2 linked regions of the Arabidopsis thaliana genome follow. The protein of the gene in region 2 interacts with the protein of the main gene of each other region in a pairwise test. Each region holds a gene or a part of one and is shown on either strand. Other genes may lie near its edges.

Region 1 (3,763 bases), on a different chromosome or scaffold from region 2:
TTATGTTGCAGAATACGCATATACGTCAAAGGTAGATGAGAAGATCGATGTGTACAGCTTCGGGGTAGTTTTGCTAGAGCTGGTGACTGGAAGAGAAGGAAACAACGGAGATGAACACACAAACTTAGCAGATTGGTCATGGAAACATTACCAATCTGGAAAACCGACCGCAGAGGCGTTTGATGAGGACATCAAAGAAGCTTCCACGACTGAGGCGATGACAACAGTTTTCAAGCTAGGTCTCATGTGTACTAACACATTGCCTAGTCATAGACCTTCCATGAAAGAGGTCTTGTATGTTCTGCGCCAACAAGGACTTGAGGCGACGAAGAAGACTGCAACAGAGGCATATGAGGCACCTCTACTAGTTAGTTTATCGGGTCGAAGGACAAGTAAAAGGGTAGAAGATGAAGATTTAGGTTTTGTATAATCAAATAATCACAACACTTGATGTTGTTTTTTTTGTGAAATGTACAAATGTATTAGAAACCATTTAGTTTTTGTGTAAGCAAAGTTTTAGTTAAGAGTATAACTACCAGCTTGTAACTTATTTGAGAACAAAATCTGAAAGTCTGAATAAAAAATGGTCTTAAAGAATTTGTTATTCCTTATAATAATAACACTCTTATTAAGAATCAAGGCAAAATATGCATACAAAACAGAGAAAGATGATGATTGATTTGTGTTACAATAAGAAGAGAAATTATTTAGAGTCTTGCTGAACTTTCTTTAACTGAGCCTCGGTGTTTCTTCTTGCGCCTTGTAGAATCGTTTTATCCGCGGTTATGAAGAACGCAGCGATAGAAGCTGTTCCAATGATCACCATAATCACAAGATAGAAATCAGAAGAAAATTGTGGAGAAATGAATGTACGAATACTTAAAAACCCCAAACTCAACTAGGTTCAAAAGGGAAGTTCGAGGTTTCTACAACAATGTTAAAGCTAGTATCTTTTTTCTACTTAGTTCCAGGAAGAACATATAGTAATGATTTAAGGCATATTGCTGATAGAGCTAACCTGAAGAAATAATGAGTGCTTGAGCAGTGTAGTTGAGGTTTGCCTTAGCCCACGGGAACATACGAACGGCAGCTACCTGTTACGAAAACAAGGCATGCTTATGTACCAAATTCATATCTTATATACACATCAAAAAGAATGTGACTCTACTTGGTGTATTCAGAAATCACAAAATGAATAGGTAACAAAATTGAAACTCTTGATTATTACAGAACATGAGATTGGTGAGTCACTTTTGTCTTAAAATTCAACAACAAAGAAACATAACTCTTACATTTAATTCATTTAAGATCTCAATTTAAAAAATTTAGATAAGTGAGATTATATGATTACTGTGGGAATCGCACTGGCGACGGCGGCAACGGCGGCGGCCTTAGCTCCGGCAATAGCTCCGGCTGTAACATAATCCAAAGTCATCAATTTAAAAGATTTTTTTTAGGGGAAAAAAGAGAGAGAGAGACGGAGAAAGAAGAAGAGACCTTGTTTGGAAGTTTCGGCTCGATGGATCTTAGCAATCTCGTCGGGAGAAGCTATGACGAAGAGATTCTGCTGCCTCCGGTTACCCATTTCTGACCGATTTTCCATTTTCAGTGTCGCTTTTTTGATCTTTCGATTTCAAGGAGAGAGAGAGAGAGAGAGACGGGTCGCGATTTGCCTTTTTCTTTGGTTAGGAAATAAATGATTAGGACGAAAATTAAAAATTCGTTTTTTTTTTTTATAAGTTGGGAATCTTTCACCAAAATAATGAAACGCCAATATTGAAAACAAAGTTGTCAAAATACTATAGTCTATAAAACGCCAATTTAGAAATGTATTTCAATCATGTATTTAGAATAATTTGTGTTAGAAAACAGATAAAACAATTATTATGTTATAGATTATTTTTAAAATAAAATAAAATTCAGTGGTTCGTAAATGTTTGTTATTGAGAATATTTTAAATTTTAGATTTTTAGTATTTTTAATGCACAATGGTCTTTTGGAGCGGTTTTAGAAATCGACTTAAGAAATGTTTGGAGTCAATTTTGTTACCATACGGATATCTTTAGAGATATAAGAAATTAATCGATTCAGTTTTAGATAAAATTTATAAGTGAAAAAATGATTAAAAAAATATAATAAATTAGTTAATTTCATTAATGATGATATTTTTGTATAGAAAGATAAATTAAAACTTAATTTTATATGTGATTAAAATAGTAATTTTTAAAAAATTGGTTAGTTTATTTTAATTACATAAAATTTAAAATAAAATTTTTGGTATAGAAGTTGAGTTTTAAATGAATTCGGCCTTAATGCTTCAAACATACAAAAGCGAAGATATAGAGAGCCCATCAAAAGTACTAGGGACCAACAGAAAATGTTAAGATTTTATTAATAGTTCAATATTCTTTTTTTAAAAATATTATAATACCTGAATTGGACTTGAGCCAAAGTTTTACAAATCAAAACAACAAATACAAAACGGAGGCAAGAATCTGACAATATCTCCGGTAGACGAGATCTTACTTCGGCGGTAGTTCAATATTGTTCTAATGATTTAACTTGATTGCTTAGATTGGATGATAGAATGTATTTCTAGTGTTCTAATTTAATTGGTTACTTGAACTTTGATACCCTTCTATTGCTATGGTTTTTATACACTTGTGGCAATGAGTGATATTGTAAATTAAATTAGAAAATATGGTGCTAAGGGATATGTGATATAATGCATATATATCCGAGCTACTCGAAAGTCGAAACAGGGTCTAAGCTTCCACCTATGGCTAATTGAGTACTTATGTGCATGAAACATGAGCATAAGAGGTTGATGGAGCTGTTTTACTGTATGCATCTTTCTGCAACCCAAATCCAAAGAGTAGTTGTAAATTTCATGAAAGTGAATGTAATGTCTATAGTCATGTCATAATGTTACTGACAGTCCAAGAGGTGAAGAGCGGTGTGCGGGTGTCTCCAAAATTGTATGTGGTATATTGTGTTTTTAGTGTCTTATGTCCTTTGTCTAGTGTTTGTTTTGAGTTGTTTGTCACATTTTTGTTCGTTTTTAATGTATTTTTCGGTTGTTTTGTACAAGTTTTACGAAGTTATACTGGAATTGGAGACTTTTTAAGTGAAAAACAGACGTTAGGAGATGAAACGGAAAAATGGTGATTCAAGACAACTCCGATGAATGCCATCAGACAACTTTTTGATGCTTAATTTTAAATTTTCTATCAAATTCCACTGGAAAATGGCATCGGACAATTCCCTGATTGAGCACCAATATAATTGAACCCTACCGCAAGAAGTATTGCCTCCTATAAAAACAAGTTGAGAACATTTTCAATGCGAGTTGTCTATAAAATTTTCGGTTGCAAATAAAATATAAATATTATTATTTTGGATCCTTAATTACATTTTTCCTACTACTTATAGAGCTTACATATCTGTTGTTTCTACTTTTACTTATTTTTTTAGTTATTGTGAAACAAAACATATATATTAATTTATACGAATTAAAGGTTTTCAGTACCTTATAAAGGTTAAAGACTATTTATTTATTTTTTATTTAATACAAAATTTGGTATATAAGCTCCATAAAGGGTAGCAAATATTTAATTTAATACAAAATTAATTATATGTACATAATTATATATATATATATAGTAACTTAGACACAATTAAAATTTGCCTTCTCCTTATAGTATAATTCAATTATATAATATATATATATATATATATATATGATTTTACTTTTCCTCTTTTT
Region 2 (3,763 bases):
AAGCTATACAAAAAATTTCATAGAGATGATCGAAGAGAGCACCTTCCGAGGTATAAAGGAGTGTGTAAGATAAGGAAATCGAATAGAGTAGCCGATATGAGAGAAACTGGCATAATTGCTGATGCGAAAACAGCTCCTAATCTGTTTATTCCCCATGTCGCTGCTACAGTCGACATTGCTTGTCCTATCACTCCCTATAATACGTGTATAGTAATAAGGTAATATTAGGTAAACCCCAAAATTTATTTAATTATTTACATATATACTACATTATAATTTATAAAAATGTTAAGATTTCTGATAATATAGTATTATAACTTACAGCATATATTATGACACCAATCACAAATCCATCGTCGATGATCCAATGTTTAAGGTCTCTACTCTTGTAAAGACTCAATAGAGCACATTGAAAAGCTGCGAAAATTGACATGAGACAAGTGCTTGAGAATTTGCAAGGATACTTGATGCTTAAAGTCCCTTGAAACAATATCCATAGAGATAGCAACACGATTCCTATGACTAAGTAGAGACATCCAAGAAGCCAATTCTTGGTGTTGTGATCGCTGTTGTTGTGAGGAAGAGCCTCTAGGTGAGAGTGAGAGTTTGATATATGAGGGCCTTTGTAAAATGTTAAGAACAAAGCTCCACTTATACATATTAGAGTTCCCATCACTTTTATCATTCCTGCTTGGGTCTTTAGATCTTTTATCTTCTCAGTTCTGAAAAGTAATATAACCTTTTAGATGATAAATTTGAGATAATTTATGAGTAAGGTTCTTTTGAGTATTTCTATATATAGAAGTATAATATGCTTGATGAAAAAACAAAAGAAATTATATGCACTGTATACATAACAAATACGAATAAATCCTGCATGAACCCATTGCATAGTAATAGTAAATACAGTACTTATTTTAATGATAAAGAAGTTAGATGGTTCCATAATTACCTCAAAATAAGAGCGAAAGCAAAGGTGATTGCAGGCATCAAGCTTACCAAAGCACACGCAACAGTTGCTGACGTGTAGGACAGACCAAGCAAATAGAAAAATTGCATCAAACTCGCCCTGCAAATTTAAACCCAAAACTAAGCTAAGATTAAAAACAATTTAGCTAGCTTATGAAGATTTTATGCTCACTTGAAAGAAAATCTTTCTTCTGTGGAAACAATCAATGTATAATGGAAAAGGAAAATGGAAAATGGACGACAAAAGAACATAAGAAATTGTGAGAAGACAAACCCGAGCAAACCACTGATGAAATGATCGACCATTAGCCTAAACGTTATTTTCGGTATTATTTTCCTGTTAACAATAAGACATAAACTTTAGGGGAAAGAAAATATCAATCTACTTCATATATTAGTAACATGTAGTGGTGTTTATTTACATGTTATAATAGAGCATTCTGACAATCTTCAATTGTAGTAAATGTTGTTAATTATGTAAATATGAAAAAACTATTTTGATATAATCAAATTTTTGAAAATTTTGCATAAGAAAAATATATAACTCAACTATTTTCATCAAAATATCAATAAACCTTTCCAAAAAATAGGCGATAGGAACCAGAATGAAAGAGGAAATAGCCATTCGATAAGCACCAATGATCATATGGTTCACACCAACATCAAGAGCTTTCTTCACAAGTGCATTCACCGAACCCATCGCTACTTGTGATGTCACCATAACTATCATCGGTGGCCATTTTGAGACTACTTTCACTCCTCGCATATCCTCACCCATCTCTCCCTCGTTCTCTCTTTCTTGAATTCTATGTGAGTTTGTGTGTTAGAAAGAGTTAAGACCCAAAGTACTTTGAGTTTGGCAACCACCCTTCCCATATTTATAACTTATAAGAAAGAGTACTGTGTTTGGGTTCTGTCATTTTAATAGAAAAAACCCCTGAATTATTGCTCTATTATATTAACTTAGTGGTCTTTCTATCAAAAATAAATAAATAAAAAACTTAGTGCTGTCAAGTTCAATTTAAATAATATTAGAATCTTGTTCCACATTATGTAAAATTATAAATTACAAAATAGTTCAAATATTTGAACAAGTTGAATGTTCCTACACACAACTAGCTTAATTTTATTTACTTTTCTGGTCTAAAAAAACTTTCTTTTTATATAGGATAAGCGTTTGTGAAGAACAAAGCACTACTACAAACCCGAGCATATTATTAACTAATGAAAGAACAAAATTAGTAGGATACTTAAGTTTAAGAAGTCGTCACAAATATAACTGCTCATGCGGTAACAATCTTTTTTTTTTCCGGTCAATATGTGTATATTTACTGTTATATTTATTTATTTATTATATAGTAGAAATGAGAACCGATACATTGGCTTTATCACACGTTTCATGAGGCGCCGATGAATTAGCTTTTCCATTTTATACGTTATATGAGTAAATGAGAAACCGATACATTGGCTTTATCATGCGTGTTATCTGCCGCGCACCTTATTAATTAGCAAAATGATTTTCATAAAAGAGAGTCGGAGAGATGATGTAACTGAGTTTAGTGAGAAAAAATAAGTCATGCAAACCCGAGCTAGTTGGTATATCTAAATCTATACTTCGTGTAATCTAATGACACTTAAACATTTGTAATCTAATGACACTTAAACACTTGCATGCCCGTCTCCGTCTGGTCGTATAGGTTCAAGTTTGGGTTCTTTACTTTCAATTGTAATTGGACTGACTCAAGGATTTGTTGAATTTGGTGCAAAATAGGAAAAAACACGAACTTTTCAACGAGATAAACTAATCATATGTAGTAAATAAGTACTATATGAGATTTTGCAACTCTCATTCAATAACTTTTTGCGTGCAAATTTGTTTTGTGCCCATTTTGAATTATATTCGATCCATTAATTATTCTCTTTTGTCTTTTCATTGGATCCATCTTGTTTTGCACTATCTCGTTTTTGTTAATTATAAATGCGTATAATTAGCTCTATATTTGAACTTTTAAAGTTGATGAAAAAATTATATTATCCCCATTTGGGTATATCGAACTCTTTCATTCCTTTAGTTTGTCCATATAACTTTGTAGGGACAAAAAGCAGATGCTATTTTTAGATTCAGTAAGTTATCTAGAAAAGGCTTAGAACATAATGGACGGGGCATTTTCTCTCCAGTAGTGCAGACATATATATTCCTTCTACTAATTAGATCAATTCACCAAATATAATAACAATTGAGTTAGTGGTTCTAATGATGTTAAATTTTTTTTATAAAAAAGTTGTCACAAAAGAAAAGTTAGTGGTTTTGACTTAGTTCTAGAATAAATTTACAAGATTGGTATATAATATATTCTATCTTTTCATATTAAATCATATCTAAAGTTTTTCACATAAATTAAGAAATAATAAAAAAAATATTTTGTTTATTTTATATATATAAATTGTTAAAATAAAACTAATTCAACTAGTAAAAAACATATTCTATTATATAAATGGTTACAATCAAATATATTTAAACTTTTGAAAACATCACTTGAAATAAGATAAACAAAATTCTCTGGATCATCATTTAAAACAAAACAGAGAAAGTATTCGATGAAATTAAAACAGTATAACCAACAGCTCAATAATTATTATACTTTTATAATTTTTTTTATTTTTTTTTGAAAAAGGGTTTTATATATGGTGAATTAATCTGATTATACTACATATAACTAAATTGGAAAGGGATAAGAATAAAAAAAAAGAAGTAGACGTCTCAAAACAAAGTTAAGCCTCCATGACGCACATG

The links. The genes of interacting proteins can lie anywhere in the genome.
Region 1: the proteins of UMAMIT27 (region 2) and AT5G25940 interact in a protein complementation assay, tested with the Arabidopsis thaliana proteins (one large-scale study listed by BioGRID).

The regions. Positions count from the first base shown.
Region 1 is NC_003076.8:9,053,549-9,057,311, forward strand, and holds AT5G25940 (early nodulin-like protein), read right to left. Parts: upstream 1,708-3,763; 5' UTR 1,604-1,707; coding exon 1,498-1,603; intron 1,414-1,497; coding exon 1,352-1,413; intron 1,095-1,351; coding exon 1,019-1,094; exon of another isoform or gene 808-1,018; coding exon 704-807; 3' UTR 574-703; downstream 1-573. Other genes in the region: AT5G25930 (kinase family with leucine-rich repeat domain-containing protein), read left to right, coding at 12-430.
Region 2 is NC_003070.9:3,851,301-3,855,063, reverse strand, and holds the start of UMAMIT27 (nodulin MtN21 /EamA-like transporter family protein), read right to left. Parts: upstream 1,881-3,763; 5' UTR 1,748-1,880; coding exon 1,545-1,747; intron 1,307-1,544; coding exon 1,244-1,306; exon of another isoform or gene 1,070-1,243; coding exon 953-1,069; intron 723-952; coding exon 323-722; intron 195-322; coding exon 43-194; coding exon of another isoform or gene 18-42; exon of another isoform or gene 1-17.